Stegostoma tigrinum: one gene and its partner. The protein of the gene in region 1 interacts with the protein of each later gene in a pairwise test. Links are inferred from orthologs where the notes say so. Each region holds a gene or a part of one and is shown on either strand. Other genes may lie near its edges. The genes, in order: zfyve19 and vacuolar protein sorting-associated protein 4B.

The links.
Region 2: the proteins of zfyve19 (region 1) and vacuolar protein sorting-associated protein 4B interact in binary tests that used the Homo sapiens proteins (3 or more experiments, as listed by UniProt). The two-hybrid records come from large-scale screens. The link is inferred for Stegostoma tigrinum from reciprocal best matches to the Homo sapiens genes ZFYVE19 and VPS4B.

Annotation. Positions count from the first base shown.
Region 1 is NC_081363.1:82,441,667-82,450,886, forward strand, and holds the start of zfyve19 (abscission/NoCut checkpoint regulator), read left to right. Parts: upstream 1-5,022; 5' UTR 5,023-5,161; coding exon 5,162-5,215; intron 5,216-9,220. Other genes in the region: dnajc17 (dnaJ homolog subfamily C member 17), read right to left, coding at 4,520-4,594. UniProt on the Homo sapiens protein: Key regulator of abscission step in cytokinesis: part of the cytokinesis checkpoint, a process required to delay abscission to prevent both premature resolution of intercellular chromosome bridges and accumulation of DNA damage.
Region 2 is NC_081355.1:54,427,681-54,437,351, forward strand, and holds the start of vacuolar protein sorting-associated protein 4B, read left to right. Parts: upstream 1-5,913; 5' UTR 5,914-6,038; coding exon 6,039-6,065; intron 6,066-9,671.

The DNA of each region.
Region 1 (9,220 bases):
TGTCATAATAAACAAGTTATTAATGATACCTCCTGTGAGTTTCTTTAATCTGAGATCTTTAAGATGAAAAAATACTAGTTGATTCCCAATAATAGCTATCCAAACATCCACGTTCCAGCTGATATTTCAAATAAAATATATATAGTCCATACACTAGCCTTGATTTGCAATGTTAAGACAAATAGCATCTTAGCCTTACATAGTTGTCACAGTAAGGCATTACTTTTGTAGAAATTAAAATTGGTTAACTTAACATTTATGATGACCTTGAATAGTGGGCACAATTTTCAGTGTACACTTTCCATCAGGCTTGTCACAGTAGCATTTACCAGAGCAAAATCAAGGGGTTTTGGCAAAACTGGATACTGAGAATACTTCATCAGGGAAAATGCTCAAAGAAAGAATGTTGTAGTTTTTGGAGGCCAGCTCCTTCTCCAAAATACTTCCCTCCAAATGAGGTCAAAAGCAGGGATGCACCTGGTTCATTGTGCAATGTTCAATTCCATTTCCAGCTCTTCAGCTATTCCATGCTGGTATGAAGCACGATCCAGCCAATATCTTGGTTTGTGTGGAAAGTAACAATCGTACTACATCAACCATCTACCTTGATATAATATGCTATTACCGTCACTAAGTCTCCCACTATTAATATCCTGCAAATTACCATGGACCAGAAACTGAAACATGTCAAGTATATAACTACTGTGGCTGTAACAGCATGCCAAGTGGTTGTGAATTCTGTGATATTCCCAAAGCCTGTCCACCATCGAGAAGGCACAGAGTTGGGGTTGTGTTGGAATAGACGCCACTTGCCTGATTGGGTGCAGCTCCAGCAAGAACCTGGTCATTACCCAAGACAAAACACTTAACTAGCACCTCACCCACTTCCTCCAGCACCAATATAATGCAGCAACAGTCCCTACCACAGCAACTCATCAAGGATCTCTCAACAGAACCTTCTAATCTCACAATTTCTATGACCCGTGAGGCCAATGGTAGCAACCCTCCAAGACTCAGATCTGTATTGCCGTTCCTTCATTGTTAGATCAAAATTCTGGAACTCCCTCCTGGCAGGATATCTACATCGCAAGGACTGCAGCAGTTCAAGAAGGCAGTTCACCAACGCCTTCTCAAGGCAATTAGGGCAAGGAAATAAATAGTGGCCTAGCCAGCAACACTCATACCCCATGAAAAAGTAATAAAATAAATCAGGTATAATGTTATAAAATGTTACAATTTAGTGATCAAATGTTTGGACAAATTAGTAGGCTTTCAAGAAAACTAGAGGAGTAAAAAAACTGGAGATGGACAGATTTTAGGAGAGAATTGGGCATATTTATGTCTAATTGGCTGACAGAATGGCCATCAATAGAAGGCTAATGAAACAAGGAATTTGCAACAGCCCAGAGATTGATAGACACAAAGATTGCAGAACAAAATAGGACTTGACAAGGTTATAGAGATAGAGAACTTGAGGCCAAAGAAATTTTGAAGAAGAAGATGAGATTTAAAACTGAGATGTTAGAGGGCTGAATGCCAGTGCAAGCCAGTGAACGCAGCCAGCTGAGTGAGCAGAACACTAGTTGCAAAGTATGATCCAGGCAAAAGATCATTGGATGAGCTCAGCTTTACAGCTTTATGAAGAATGGGAGGCTGGAGCTCTGGATATATCAAGTCCAGAGGTTTATAAAAAAAAAGACATGGATGTGAGTTTCAGCAACAGATGAGCTGAGCTAGGGCAGAGACAGACAATGTTATGGAGGTGGAAGGAGATGATCTTTGTGATTGAGAAGACTATGGCCCCAGACGCTTCACTCCATGTTAAGTTGAACGCCTAGGTTGCAATTCATTGAGATTTTACCCGGAGAGAGGGATAGAATCGGAGGCAAGTGGTTTGCGTTTGTGCTGGTGACCAAAGACAATGAATGTGGCCATCTTAGCAATTAACTGGAGGAAATTTCAGCTCAGCCAGAATTGAATGTCAGACAAGCAAGCTATGTAGGGCTGAAGGGCAGTTTGCATTGCTGGTGAACATGTGGAGGGTGACGGTGTGTTGTTTAGAAGCAGTAAGGTATCAGAGGAAGCCCAGGAGTTTCCAAAGGTGCACAGGGGCAGGATGAGATTGCCTGATGGTTTCTATTGTCTATGTCAAGAATATAACGATGAAGATACTTCCACAAAGCAGGACAGCAGGGAAGAAGCTCTGAGAAAAGAATGGTGTGGAACGCTGCAGACAACACAAGACGACCATGGAAGAACAGTACACCACAGAGTTCAAGTGGTCATTTGTAACTTAAATATTGCAACACCATATTTCAATTTCTGCAAGAAAAATGGTCACAGGTTTGAAGCTACTACACATTTAGGACGTGACAGCAAAGGACAACATGAGATGGTTTAGTAGTTCTCAAAGACAGAACGATCAAGGTTAGACCTGTTTGAAACAAGGATGAAGTTGGCTAATTCAAAAAATGCAGGAGCAGCATTTGAGGCGTGAACACAGTTTTAAAGAATGCAGCTAATATGGGTGCAATTTGGGTCTGCAATTTAATGGAAATGGGGTAAGAGTATTGAGGTTAACTGCGATTTAATGGAAATGGGGTAAGAGTATTGAGGTCAAGATTGGCACTGAAACAGGAGGGAAAAGAAGTTAGAAATTGCAGAGAGAGAAGCAGACAAGAAGGAAATCTGAATTGGTGAAAAAGGAGAAATATGGCAAATGCAGCTAAATAATTCATTCTTCAAGGCAAAGCCCTTCTCAATTATTGTTGGAGATGTGAGTGGATGGAGACACAAAGTAAGCGAAGCAAGATCATTGAAGGGTTACAGCACAAAAGGAGGTCATCCTTGCTGGAACCTTTCTCATTAATATTTCCAGCAATCTGTACAAAGCTTTCAAACCCCTTCCAAAAGGTGAGCGCCTAAAGTTCGACACAATATCTCAAAGGAGGGTGAACCAGAGTTTCATAAAGGTTCACCATAGCTTCTTTGCATTTGCATGCTATGTCTCTCTTTATAAAGGCCAAGATCCTGTATGTTTTACTAATCATTTCCTCAAACTACCCTGCCACCTACAATGATTTGCATGCATACAACGCCATCTTTCGCTGCTCCTGAACTCCTTCAGAATTGGATCTTTCAGTTTCAATTGCTTCTCCTCACTCTCACTAAACCGTGTTAACATTCGTCAACCATGTCCTCACAGTTCACTATATTTCCATGTTCTATCATTGCTAATTTCAAAATTCAGTTCTCGACAACCGCGTTCAAAAATCACGAACAGATATGAAGAAAAGCACATTACTGACACCTGAGGAACACTACTGCATATCATCCCGTAGTTCAAAAGAATCTTCACCACTACTCATTTTTTTGCCATCACTTTGTGGACTTCCAGGCTGTCACTGTCTCATTTAATCTATGGCTCAACCTTGCAAGCAACTTATTCTGTTGCATTTTATCAAACACCTGTTGAAAATTGTTTACTTTTACCTCAATCCTGTCAATGGGTCAATGCCTTAAACAACAGTGTAAGGTCAGCAACAAACACGAAGTTGATGGAAAAGCTCAGCAGGTCTGGCAACATCTGTGAAGGAAAAGAAGAATGGAACTCAGACCTGCTGAGCTTTTCCAGCAACTTTATTTTTGTTCCTGATTTACAGCAGTTCTTTTGGTTTCTTTCATATAGTGTAAGGTCAACAGTTTGATTCTAAACTGAAAAGGAAAGAGAGACATAATTAACTGGATTGTGATCGCTGCATTTTGTTGCAGGAGGTGAAAATACATAAATTGAGTAAAGGCTTTGAGTGGCCACAGGAATGATAATGATCTGGAACTTAGTATTTGTAAATGGGTAATTATCGTTCAAGAGAAGGTTGAGAATAGGTCTGATAGAGGTACTGAAGCTCATGAAGGGTCGTGGCAAATTAAACTGGGAACAAAACTATTCCCACTAGTGGAAGACGTAAGGAGAATGGGTAAAGAAACAATAGAGATGTGAGCAGAAACATTTTAACAGCAAATAGTTACGCTCAGGAATGCCCTTCCTGAGACTGAGGAGGCAGTTTTAATTGAATTGGGAGTGTGATTTGAAGGGGAAAGAGAGAGAGAGGAATGGCACATTTGGTTGGTAGGTACATGCACACGAAGGACCTAACGGCCTCCTTCTGAGATACAGCCAGCCTGTGATCCCTGACCCTGCGGCTAGACTGAAAGCAGCAGTTGTAAATACTGTCCCCTGACTAAGACCCGGCTTCAGTCAGTGACTGGGGCTGGCGGGGATTTCAAAAAACACTCCACAGACACTTCTTAGATAATAAAATGTGAGGCTGGATGAACACAGCAGGCCAAGCAGCATCTCAGGAGCACAAAAGCTGACGTTTCGGGCCTAGACCCTTCATCAGATGCTGCTTGGCCTGCTGTGTTCATCCAGCCTCACATTTTATTATCTTGGAATTCTCCAGCATCTGCAGTTCCCATTATCTCTGATACTATATTATCCCCACAGACACTTCCTTACCTCTTTACCAGTAGCATCTTCGCTGATCCCCAGCAACGAGTAGAGGTCTAACTGCAGGATTTCTTTAGCTGTCATTGTTCTTCACACTAAAGGTGACCTAGCTCGAAGCAGCAGATTCCGGCCTTTCCTTTCAACCCGATTGCGAAATAGACTCAGGCCTAAACATTCACCACCGGCCTCCAAAACAACACCAAGCCCTTCGAGCCGCGAAGCCTTCTAGGATTGTAGTTTCCGAGACACCACCTGTCCGCTCAGGCTCCTTGAAGTTTTGTCCCAGAAGAGACTATAATTCCCTGCGTGCATCACGGCGTACGCACTGGAAGACACTTGGGATTATGGTCCAGCTCACCGCCACTGTCGGCGGTCAAGTAGCTGCGATGCGCGCCGGGAATTGTAGTTCATGCGGCTCAAGCTCCCCGCACACTCTGCACGTCTGCTGGAAAGAAAGCACTACGGCACCCGGCGGGCAGGGGGTGGGGGCGGAACTGGTTTTTGGTTTCCGGTTGGTAGCCGTGGAGATGGAGAGCGAAGAACGAGCTCCCTGACGGCATTTAACGTAGGAGGGTCGGTGTGAGTGTAATGTAAAAGTGGTCAGGTTATTGCTTTTTAGAATTGAGAGGTTAACAGCCAAACAGGCCGAAGATGGCTGGAAGATGCTATGGCTGCGCGTCCAAGTTTACTCTCCTGAGAAAAGAGGCAAGTTCATGTTCCTCCTAAAGCAGGCAGTTTGTTTGTGTTAAACTTTGCACCAACATCGCAGCAGTAATTCACACCTGCCAGTGAACATTCTCCGTCTACCTGTCATCAGATTCTACGTGAAACATAATTGCATCATTGAATATTCTGTTTCGGTTGGTAGAATCCAAAGAATATTGTGTGATTAGACCATATTTATGTTTATTTGTTGGGGTACTTTACCGTGGAAAATAATCACAGTGTATTACAGAGATCTATCATGGTTGAAAATGCTCCAATATAACGATGCATGTTCTTGTTTAATTTGATCAAATGGAAATAAACAATTTGCTTTCAAATTCTGTACGCTAGAGTAAATCGTTGGGGATGGAAGTGGATGGGCATGTCTGCCAAGGTGGAGTGATTAAGTTTGGAATGTTCGAGTCTAAGAGTATTTTAACACTTGAGGCTAGAGTTAGCAAAAACATAGTTGGGATGAGTATTCATCGAGGTGAAAGCCAGTAGTTTTGATGAATCGCCTACCCTAAAGCTGGCCTACAGTTTGAAAATTGTATTATGATTTCTCAAGGCTTGGGTGACTGACTAGAGAAGGGAACAAATACTGGTCAAGAGATATAGCATAGAATGGAAAACAATGTCTTTGATTTGCTTGAGATAAACAATCTTAAATGTTGTGAAGGGCTGAAATTTGCATTTTATTTAGGTGATAACTAACTTTTGCAAAAATTACAGTTCATCTATTAGTCTAGTCCTGAACCACAACCCGAAAATGGATGCATCAATTCTACAGTTTTGTTTTAGTTGTAGCTGTTGAGATTTTAAACGGCAAACAAACATCTCGTATTTACTGCTCCTCCCTACCTGGTTAGCTCTGTTGGAAAGTGCAAAAGACTAGTTGTTAGCTGTGGGTGGGACTGGAATGGAGAGAATCATAGCTGATCCCAATCCCTTTAGGATTCTGTTGTTCTCCAAAATGCATCAGGTGGACCTGAGGAAATAAGTTTCAAAATTTCTACTGTCCATGGGTAAATCAAAATTTTTAAAAAAGATGAATTTTTATTTATCTTGTATAGTATTTTCATAGAGTCATAGAGGTTTGTTGAATGGAAAGATGGCCCAACTTGGCCATGCCGTCCAGATTTCACAATTAAACTATTCCCATTTGCCTGCATCTGGTCTATTTCCCTCCTTACCTACACCATACGTGTACCTGACCCAATATGAAATTGTACTTACTTCCACCATTATCTCTGGCAGCCCGTTCCAGACACTCACCACCCCCGGTGTGTAAAAAATGCCCCTCTGCACCTTTTTGTATCTCTCTCCTCTCAGCTTAAACCTATGCTCTGCCATGGGGAAAAGCTGTTGGCTATTTACCTTACCTATGCCACTCATGATTTCATAAGCATCTATAATGTCACCACTCAATCTCCTATGCTCCAGGAGGAAAAAAAATCCCAGCCTATCCAGCCTTTCCCTCTGATTAATAACTTTCCTTTGTATGAGAGTTCTGAGGAAGGGCCACTGGCCTCGAAATGTTAAATGTGATTTCTCTCCATAGTTGCTTCCAGACCTGCGCTTTTGTAGCAATCTCTGTTTTCATTGCCATAGATATTCTCAGAGCAATGCAAGTTGTTACTGTGAGCTGTGTTTAGGGCTGCCCACTACTACCTATACAAAATCTTGATCCAGATTGTTCGCACACTCAATACACCAAACTGGAAATTCATACCTTATTATACACATTAAATGAAATGTCACCAGTTTGAAATTACGAAGCTTCTTCACTTCAGGAGTCCACAGAACAACAATCATCAGATAACCTTGTCATCAAGTCTCCTCTTAAAAGTTAGACAACTGCGACCAGAATGTTGTGAATGAATTTGTCAAGGTGTCCAATAATACCAAAGCAGTCAAATCAATACATACACAAGCTGGTCTCAATACAAAGCAGTCGCAACTTTATTAGGAACAAAGTTACAATAACCTTTCTTACTAAACATACTGTCTCTAAACCTATTTGGCCTCTTACGGTTGCAGAACTTCTCGAGTCCTTTGTAGACATTATGCAGCTGCCTTGTCTCTGGATCTGCGAAGCTGCTCTCTCTCACTCTGTTTGGCTTGTCATACTGATCTCCCCAAAGTCTTCAGACAATTACAAGAGAGTGGTGTGTTTTTATACATTTTCGGTGGCTTTTCTGGAACTTTCTGTAGTTCTGGCCAATCAGGGGCATACACTTAATAGTTTGAAACAGACTTAATCATTTGGAAGGCATGTTACTGTTAGTTTCTTTGTCTAGCAGGATCCAGAGCATTTCTGTTTGAGCCCTCCTTTATTTGGGGGTATGTCTGTCCAACATAACTGTTGTCTTTTACATTAAGCTAATATCATTAGCGCCTGGCTGCTGTGTTTGAGCTGAGTCTACTGTGTGGATTTTGTGCTTTCAATGTTTTACTTGGCCAGTGCACCAGCATCCCTTGCTGTTTGGCCGAGTTAGTAATCTATCTGTGTTTTTGCAGCCCAGAGGCTTCTACACGTCCAGTATAAGTTATCTTTGCAAAACATAAGCAAGATATTAATGGACCATTTGGCTTGCTTCCAACAAACAACCTCTTGTCTTCCTGAGTTCTGTAAATTGTATTCCTGTCTTTTTGTTTCCTCTTTGAAAACCTGATGAATGCACCTGAGCCTGTTTATATTTTTTAAAAAATCTATGTTCACAAACCAAGTTTCGGTCTGAGGACCTCACCAGGTTGCCCAAGGCAAAACATCTCCAGACACATTGGAATATAGACAGCAAAACAAATTTGTAATTGTCAATCAACATTTATTTTGGGGGAAAATAACTTAAAAGCCTAACCTTTCTTTGAAAAATGTGTGAATTTTAAACTTTAAACAATTTAATCTGTAACCATGAAATAAATTATTTCCTCAAAAAATGTTTTCATAATTTTCCACAAAATTGTGAAAAATTACAACATGTGGCAGTGCCAATTTAAAATAAAGTCAGTGTATTGACTATCTCCTCTGTAGTGTTGGGATACTGCCATTAACTCAAGATTGACTGGAACCAAGAGGAATTTCTGCTATTCAGTAGACAAGTGAAGGTGTTTATCTACACAGCTTAAAGCCACCAAAGCTGCATTATACTATCTGGGAATACTATAAAAGTACTGCTACAACTGAAATAATCAGTTACACAGCAATATCCAGTTGTTGGGCAACCAGAAGATTAATGCAAAATAATAAATCTCTTTTTGCTTTTCACTGTCTCCTCTGTCTAGTGTTCCCCAAACACGTTGCCCCTATTCTTCCCTTCCTTCTAATCCACCCCATTACAATGGTATTGTGTTGAGGTATTCTTGCACATCAGAATCTGTATCAATTTACCCTCGCTGCAATGTTATCCTTGTATCTGAAAATGCTAACTTTTTTTTGTTACCTGCTTGATTCAGCAATTGACAGATTTCTTATTCAAATGAATCATTTGATTCTGTTGAGAGTGACAAATTCATTATTAAGAATGATGAAATTTTCTTTCTCCCAGGCTTTTGGTCTTCTGTGACATACACTTTATCATGTCCTGGCTGGTGACTTATTTGTACAATTGTTTCTGTATTGTTTTGCATTTGATTGGTGTGGATGCTAGGTCATCCAGTCACATTTCCATCTCTTCTGTCCACTGAACTCATCAACCTTCTGAAATGTGTGTCTTTCTGAGGACAAGGCAAGTTCAAGCAATCTGCATGAACCCATGGCATCTCTCCAGGCCATATGCCACATAAGTATTGTCCTGCATGAAACACAAGTGTGACACAGCAGATGGAGCATCTAGGCCAGTGCTGTCCTGTTCCCATCCACACCCAATTTACTTGACTGCTGTGATAATATCAAGTAGAACCAGCATGGCACATGTGTGTAACTTGTGAAACATGTACATTCTGTAACAGTCTTAGCACACAGTACAATATACCATCATTCAGTCTAGGTATGTACGTTTTGAC
Region 2 (9,671 bases), on another chromosome or scaffold:
GGATGTGGAGGAGATAACAGTTGTGAAGTGGAGGACAAATAAATGTGTAGGGATGGGAGAGATGACTTGCATGGAAGGGAAAGGGGTGACGGATGTAGGGTCATTGACAGTCAGGCATACCATGGCTTTCACAGGGAGACAGTGCACTGATATTTCTAGCATCTTGACTCAATATGGAGTTGAAGTTTTAAATAGATAGGTTCCTAGGAAACATGAGGAAATTCAAAGCTGATAGGGAGGGCTACCAAGAAAAGATTATGTACATTTTCAAGCTGAATAAAGGTAAGAGGTGTGAACTTGAGAGTCTCTGCATAAAATAGAGTTGTTATTTCCCCTCATCATGATGCAAAAACAAGTGCATAGTGGAATTGAAAATGGGTGCCACCACCCCCACACAAAAAAGAGACAAGGTAACTGCCTTGTTCTGTGAGGGAATGAGCTTCATGTTTAAGCAATGTGAAGCCAATCAAAGAGCAACGGCATTACACAGAAAGCCAAACAGTAGAGCTGAAAGATACCCATCAAACTACAAGCTATGTGAACTTGAGATGATAACTTCTACAAATCCTGTCCCCAAACACTCTTAACCACACTGTGCAGCATCAGGACTCAGTCCCACTAATGACCTGAATCACAGGCAATGTACTGCAGCGCTGAAAAATGCACTGTCATTGCAATCACCTTCCATGTTCCCATAGCCTGCACCTGGTACATGAGCTGCTTACTTTACACCTTGGAGTATAAATCTCTCATGTAGTCCATTGATCACTAAGCTCTGCTACTTCATTCTTGTATTTGCAGCAAAGTAGACATTTGGTCACACAGCTGATGATTAAAACTGAACATTGATTGATTGATTTATTGTTGTCACATGTACCAAGGTGAAGTAAAAAGTGTTGTTTTGAGTACTATACAGGCAGAATGTATCGTACAAAGTGCATCATTGTAGCAGAACAGACTGCTGAATACAGTGTTACAGTCACAGAGAACGTGCAGGGAGAGAGACATCAGAGTTATGAAATGATAGGTCTATTCAAAAGTCTGATAACAGCAGAGAAGAAGCTTTTCTTGAATTTCTTGATACACATTTTCAAACTTTTGTATTGTCTGCCTGATGGAAGGAGGTGAAAGAGAGTATAACTAGGTTGGGTGGGGTCCTTGATTATGTTGGCTGCTTTCCCAAGGCAGTGGGAAATGTAAACGGAGTCAACGGAATGAAGGCTAGTTTTCATAATGGACTGGGCTGGTTCGTAATTCTTTGTAATTTCTTGCAGTCTTGGGCAGCGCTGTTGACATACCAAGCTGTGATGCATCCGGATCAAATGCTTTCTATGGTGCATCTATAAAAATTGGTCTGAGTAATTGTGTATGTGCCAAATTTCCTTAGCTTTCTGAAGAAGTAGGGGCATTGGTGTGCAAGATTGTTGGTGATATTTACTTCTAGGAACTTATAGCTCTTGATTACCTCAGCACCGTTGATACAGATGAGGATGTGCCCTCCACTCCAGTTCATGAAGTTGATGACCAGCTCCTTTGTTTTACAGACATTGAGAGAGAGATTGTTGACTTGATACCATGCCACAGAGCTGTCTTTTTCCTGTACTCTGTTTCATTGCCGTTTGATATCCAAACCACTACAATGGTGTCAATGGTTGTAAATGGAGTTAACACTGAATTTGGCCACACAGTCATGAATATATAAGGAGTATAGTAAGGAGCTGAGTAGGAGCCTTGCAAGGCACTGGTGTTGAAAATTATTGTGGAGGAAACATTGTCACCCATCATTACTGATTGCAGTCTGCATGTGTTCATCTAAACATTTTCAAAGCAATTGAAGTTTTCCTCTTCTACCCTCAACTTTATCCAGGATAGTGGTAATGACAGGGTAGGCAGCGTTCTGACACCTGAGCCGGTTTGTTTTTTCCTTTCTTTTTACTTTTCTTTCTTCTTTACTCTTCAGTCTTCATTTTTTCCTTCTTTTTGGCATGATGGCTGCACGCAACCTGGGGCAGCAGCAGGGTCAAGGTTGAGCCCAAAGCAGGGGATATTGAGCCCTTGTGAGGTATCTGAGTCCAACCTGTCTGGGCATTTATGGACTGTGGTCTTGAACTGTTAACTGTGTTTCTTTATTTTTCTACTTTTTAACTTTGTTTTCCTTATTTTCTGCTTTATGACTAAGTGGCGACTTATAAACTTTTCTCTGTACTCATGTGAATATATGTGACAATAAACCTAATTCAAATTACTCTTTTAGGCAGTGATTTCCAGATATACATAATGTTTTGGGTGAAAAGAAATTCTTCAAATCCCCTGTAAACCTCCTGCTCCTTACCTTGACCCCTGTTTCCTGCCCCTCTGAATGAGTTTTTTTCATTTCTACCTTGTGTATGCCCCTCAGAACTTTCCACCCCTCAATCAGATTTCCCTTCTGCCTCTCTGCTCTAAAGTAAGTGACCACAGCCTATTAAATCTATCTTCATAGCTGAATCATTCCAGCCCAGGCAATATCTTAGTGAATTTCTTCTTCACTCTCTCCAGTGCTATCACATTCTTTCTATGTTATGATGACCAGAACTGCACCAACCATGGCCTAACTAATGTTATATACAGCTCCTTCATTACCTCCTTGATCTTTTATCCAATGCCTTAATTAGTTAAGGCAAGTATACAATATGTCTTCTTAACCACCTTATCTACCTGACCTTCAAAGATCTATGGACATGCATACCAAGGTCCCTCTGATTCTTTGTACTTCCTAGGGTCCTACCACTTGATGTATACTCCCTAGCCATGGGTTCTAAAGTGAACAGAAGCCATGCATAGCTTTAATTTAATTAAAATTGCTATATTGTGTGTGAAGAAGGAAGAAAACAGTTTTAGCTTCATTAGCAAATTTGGTAAGAATCAGTTTGTTTCTTCTTCCAAGTCACTAATATTGATTGTAAATAGTTGAGGCCCCAGCACTGATTCCTACAAAATTCCAAAGTAACAGTTTGTTAGCCAGAAATGACTTTTTTATCCTATCTCTGTGTTCCCTGTTAGCCACATTAACATATTACCCCTCCACAGCCCAAACGCTTAACTTGTGTGAAAGCACCTTATCAATAAGTGTTGGAAACCAAACTACATTATACTTATTGATTCCTCTATATCCACCCTCACTTATTACATCCTCATCAACTATTGTAAATTTATCAAACACAGTTTCTTCTTCATAAAAACATACAGAGTCTGCTTGATTGAACAGACCAACAAAACCCATTTGTTCTAAACGGGTTAAAGGAAAATTTATTGCAAGTTATTACTGCAGGTTCCTGAGGGATAGAGTTATTAACAACAAAGTTTAGGAGCCTAGGGTTCAAGACTCATCTGCCCTAGGAGTGTATTTCCGACCAAATTGATTCAAAAAGATTTAAAACAAGTACAGATAAAGCAGAAGAATATGCAAGAGTCTAAATAAGTCGCTGTAATATAATATGGCTTGTTTCTGAAGTTGGGATTACTGCTTGATATATAATCCAGCAGTGTAATAGCTGCTGTTATTGAATAGGTTGTGTTAACTTGAACAGGTCATTTTTTCAGAACAGTATATTTATGAGAAGAATGAATCCTAGATTCCAGGGTGGGCATGGCAGTTTTAGCAGACTACCAGATGTTTCAGCATCTCTCTTTCTCCTTCACAATCTCCTGGAGAGGTTTGTGAATGGCACTTTTATCTCGCTCATTCAAAAATCCCCTGCCTCGTTATCAAAGTTGCTGCAAGAACTCTTGAACAATGGCTGTTCTTGGCTGGGTTTCTTTATACAGCCAGCAGAAGAAAGGAACAACAGTAGACCATTCAGCTCTTTGACCCATTTTCACCATTTAATACGATCACGCTGATCATCCAACTCAATATCTTGTTCCCACTTTCTCCCTATGCTTTTTGATACCTTTAGTCCTAAAATTTGTATCACCATATTTCTTGGAAGTTTTCAATTTTTTGGCCCCAGCTGCTTTCTGCAGCAGAAAATTCCTAAGGCTCACCACTCTCTAACTTAAGAAATTTCTCCTCATCTCTGTCTTAAATGGAGCACCCCATATCCTTGAACTGTGACCCCTGGTTCTGGACTCTCCCATCATTGGAGACATCCTCCATGCATTTAGGTTACTGACATTCTACACCCGCCCCCCTCAAATGCTTCAAAACTCCATGAATATAGTTCTATCTGATCCAGTCTCTCACCATACGTTAGTCCCACCATTGCAGGAATCCCAGGAAGGTAAACCTTTTTTGCAAAGACTTAATAACCAGAATATCCTTCCTGAAATAAGACCTAAACTGAACACCCTACTCCAGGTATGGTCTGACCTCGGCAAAGACATCTTTGCTTCATGCCCTAATTCCCTTCCTCTGAAGGTTAACATTCTATTTTGCCTTTTTCACCAACTGCTGCAGCTACATACTTATTTTGAGTTACTGGTATACAAGGACACAGTGGTCTCATTCTGCATCTGTCACGAATTTGCCCACTTGTGCAAATCGCACTGAAACCTCTTCACATTTTTCTAACGGCATACCCTCCCATGGAGCTTTGTGTTAGCTGCAAATTTTGAGATATTACAATTAGTTCCCTCATCTAAATCATATGTATATTGTGAACGGTTTCCTGTCTGCCAACCAGTTCTTAATCTATTTCAGAACATGACCCCCAATCCCATGTGCTTCAATTTTGTCTGCTAATCTCTTACGTGGAGTCTTATCAAAAGCCTTCTGAAAATCCAAGCAAATCACATCCACTGGCTACTCCTTATCTATGCCACTAGTTACATCCTCAAAAAATTCCTGCAGCTTTATTAAGCACAGCTTCCTTAAGCTAAGCTGACTCTGTCTCATTCTGTTACAATCTTGCAGTTCAAAAATGCAAAATGGAAAATTTTGGGCAATCAAGTTTTCTGCAAAGAATTCACTTCTGCTGAGTCCCCGTGAAATTCTTCCTCCCACCTACTGTTTGTTTCTGAGGCTGGAGTTCTTGCATTTCCATTGTCTGTTTGCAAACCTTGGGAGTTCAAGAATCTTTATGTCATTTTTATGTTATCTGGGCAACCAGTAGGAGAGACAAGGACTCAAGGTCAAGGTCTCAGTGAACCTTTTAGAACTGACATGGCATTTCTTCAGCCAGAATCATAGAATCCCTAGTGTGGAAGCAGCTTTTTTGGTCCATTGAGTTCACAGTGACCCTGCAAAGAGGGTCCTACCAGACCCACCAACTTCCCCTATCCAGGAGAAAACCAGAGCACTTGTGGAAACCCAAGCAGACATGTGGAGAATACACAAACTCCAGAGTCACCTAAGGGTGGAATCAAACCCAGGTCCCTGATGTCCCTGGCACTATAAGGCTGCAATGCTAACCACTGAACCACTGTGCAGCCCTAAAGGGTGGTGAATCTGTCGAATACATTGCTGCAGCAGGCTGTGGAGGCAATGTCAGAGTTTAACACAGAGTTAGTTAAGTTCATTATTAGTAAGGGGATCTGAGGTTACTGGGAGATGGCAGGAGAATAGGGCTAAGAAACATATCAGCCATAATCGAATGGCAGAGTAAACTCCTTGGGCTGAATGGCCTAATTCTGATCCTATATCTTGTGGTCCTATCAGAAATGTTTAAATGTGCTGCTCTTGTTTCTTTGGTAGCAACCTTTTCCCAAAGGTGAGATAACAAGGTGTACAGCAGCATCAGAGGAGCAGGAAAGCTGATGTTTCGGGCTTAGACCCTTCTTCAGAAAAGGTGCCTGGTTTACCAACAGGAGGCACTGCTGCTGCAGTTTTGGAGACAATAGGAGTTCAGGCACGGGAAAGGGAGCGGGACAAAACACCGGAAGTGTGCCGCCGTCATGGCATCTTGTGCTCGAGTCTATCGGAAGTGACGGAGGTGCGTTTTGGCCGGCCGCTCGGAGGCGGAAGTAGGGTCGTGTTTGTTTTAGCAAGTTCGGAGTCGGGGCATCGGCGTTTTTTCTGTCACCTCCTGGTCAACACAGTCAGCGTAAGGACAGGGCAGATGGCCGCTCACAGTAACAACCTGCAGGTAATCACTGCCGCTGAGGGTGGGCGGCGGGAGCGATATCCTCCCTTTGGGGCTCTCACATCAACTGCTTCTTATCCAGGGCTGGGTCCAGAATTCGGGGGCGAGAGTGGGATAAGAGCCCGAAATTAAGGTTCAAACACAGGGGAGAGGGGAAGGTGCCCTACAGCTAGGACAGGCTGAGTTTCTAGTTCCCTACATGACGTGACTGTTAAAGGGCAGTAGCCGGAAGAAGGCAAGGCGAAAAGCAGCATCAGCCAGCCCCTCCTTTAAACCTCTGAAGCATTCACCAATAGAACTTTGTAATACATAAGCAACATCTCCTCGACAAGCAATCAGCTGCTGTTCTCTGTTTTGTTTCTTAGCTTCTCACATTGGGACTGGGAAAGAAAATATTTGCTTTAAAACAGGACACTGTTCATGAAAAAAGCGCGACTTTGGAGAGTGTACACAAATTTGCAGAACTGTGACAATCAGTGTTTATCGCAGATGCAAATAATCCCTGGTACTGAGCAAAATCATTTTAGATATAAATGGCTAACTGCCTAACAAGACTTTATAAATTGCTAGGACTGTAAAAACAAGCCAGGAGTCATAACGATGAAATCCTTTCAATTATTGCAAAATCTTCACAACAGACTAATCAGTTTTTCAGTCCAACAGGTTATGCTTTGTCTATGTGAGTCTTCTCCCAGCCTAATCTAAATCCTTTCTCACTTGTACTTATTCTACTTCCTCTTACATTTCTGCTGTTTTCCTCAATGCCCTTGTTCCACATTGTAACTGCTTGCCACTGACTTCTGTATAACTGTCTTGATCATGATGTTTTTCTTAAATTCCTCTTTTGGTTTTGATTTTCTTGTCATGTGTACTGAAATACAGTGCAAGGCTTTGTTTATGAGCGGTACAGGCAAATCACAGCAAGCAAAGGATGTACAGATCAAAAAGACTTACAGGCATAAAGGTTACATTGCAAGTTACATTATTTGAGGCTAGATTCCATTCGGTCTGTTAATGGCCAGAAAGAAGCTCCAGAACCTGCTTGTGCATATGTTCAGGCTTCTGTATCTTCTGTCAGATGGAAGAGGTTGTAGGAGGCCATTGTCAGGTCTGATGGGTCATTGACGATGTTGGCCACCTTTCAGCAGCAGTAAGTAGAGTCCATGGATGGAAGGTTGGCTTCTGCGATGGTCTGGTTGTTGATGCCCATTTTGTACTTGTGCCATCGCTCTGCTGTTGCCTACAGGTTGAAGCATCATCTTTGTCTAACTTATCAATTTCTTTCATAACGTCTTATCAGTTGTTTCTCAGTCTGTTCTAGAAAAAAGAGCCCTCACCTGTTCAATGTTTGTAAAGCCACAGTCCCCAAAAAGTTGCAAATTTATAACAGGACGTGGCCAGCTGGTCCAAGATGCCTGTGCTGGTGAAATGCATAATTTCATTATTCCCAATCATATAGTTTGCTTTTATCGGTTTACCTTTTTAAAATTCCTATCCGATAAACCTCTCTTCCTTACCGTTATAAAGTCTACAGCCTCCCAAATTCACAGATTATATCGGCTGTAAATGCTCATCACAGAAACGGAAGCCAATTATCCCATCAACCCCTCCACCCCGATCATATCCTGTATCGCTGAAATTTTTCCATAAGTATTTATCCAAGTTACTTTTAAAAATTACCATATCATCTTCTAGCACCTTTTCAGGCAGTGCATTCTAGGTCCTCTTCAGATTAATGTAAATGACTGGTGGATATTCAATTCTAACTTAAATCATAAAAATTGCTGTCTATTGGAAATGCCATTTGGAAAGTGGCTGCCATATCTGTTTAAAAGCAACTACACTTAAAAGTAATTCATTTGTAGGAAAATGTTTTGGAATTACCTGAAAGCTAGTATAGAATGGATGGAAGTGTATTATTTTCTTTCCAAACTAGTTCTCATTCAGCTACTAACAGTTCAACTGTTACAATTAACTGACACAAACTTAACGTTTTTTTACCTCCGACAGTGGCTGTTCCACAGACCCCTTATTTGAGTTCAGTGAAGGAATGGACCTTCCACCCTCATCACATTTAATATTGTTGTTGAGATGAAAATTTGAGTTTCTTGTTTAGAACTTTGGTTTCCATCTGTTTGGCAACCAATATTTCATGTGAAGGGTGACATTCATTATAAAAGTGTATCGAATATAATGCAAATATAAATGATTAACATATGGTGGCAAGATGGTCCACTGGTTAACACTGTTGTCTCTCAGCAGCAGGGAGCCAGGTTCAATTCCAGTGTTGGGTGTTTGTGTGGAGTCTGCACATTCTGCCCTTGCCTGTATGGGTTTCTGCTAGGTGCTCCAGGTTCTTTGCATAGTCCAAAAATGTGCAGGTTAGGTGGATTGGCCATGCTGAATTGACCGTAATGTCCAGGAATACGTGGGCTGGTTGGATTAGCTATGTTAAATATGGGATTGTGGGGGTAAATTGACGGGCTGGGTCTGGGTGGGATGATCTTCAGGGAGTTGGTGCAGGCTCGATAGGCTGAATGCTGTAGGGATTCTATGATATGTAGTAAGTTAGTTATTGATTGCTTAACATGTCCAATCACATTGGAACCACAATCAATGGGCAGTCAATATTTTGCTGTACAAATCTGAGTTTCCAGCTAAAACTGCGATATTCTGAACGTCTTTGGTCACTGATTCTCAAGGGAGACATTCACCTTCTGGAGATTCATTTCTGCAACAGAGAACAACATTGTGTAGGACTATTTGAAAAAGTAATCTTTTGATCAGGAAAGGTGGCAGCTAAATAGGCTTTCAATAAGTATCTATATGATAAAAGAAAAACCAGAAAATTAGTGAATAAAACCATTATAGTGAAACAGAATTGATGTTCAAATTTAGGCATGAAATACACTTCATACATCTGAACAATACATTTAACAATGGAATTCCAGTTGGTTAGTAAAGACCTAAATTGTGAATGCACACCTATATTTTTGATAGGACTTGGCCGTCTCATTATTCAGGCTATGATGTTTTAAGCCTTGACAATCACTTGATTATTTATGTAAGAAAAGAGGATAGGTTAAATACATTTCTGGCTCCATTGATCCCCTCTCTACATAATTATTTTATCCCAATGTTCAGGGATAACATTAATGATTTCTCCGCAACTTTCCCCCCACGGTGATCGAGAACGCCCTTGACCGCGTCTCCCGCATTTCCCGCGACACATCCCTCACACCCCGCCCCCGCCACAACCGCCCCAAGAGGATCCCCCTCGTTCTCACACACCACCCTACCAACCTCCGGATACAACGCATTATCCTCCGATACTTCCGCCATTTACAATCCGACCCCACCACCCAAGACATTTTTCCATCCCCTCCCCTGTCTGCTTTCCGGAGAGACCACTCTCTCCATGACTCCCTTGTTCGCTCCACACTGCCCTCCAACCCCACCACACCCGGCACCTTCCCCTGCAACCGCAGGAAATGCTACACTTGTCCCCACACCTCCTCACTCACCCCCATCCCAGGCCCCAAGATGACATTCCACATTAAGCAGAGGTTCACCTGCACATCTGCCAATGTGGTATACTGCATCCACTGT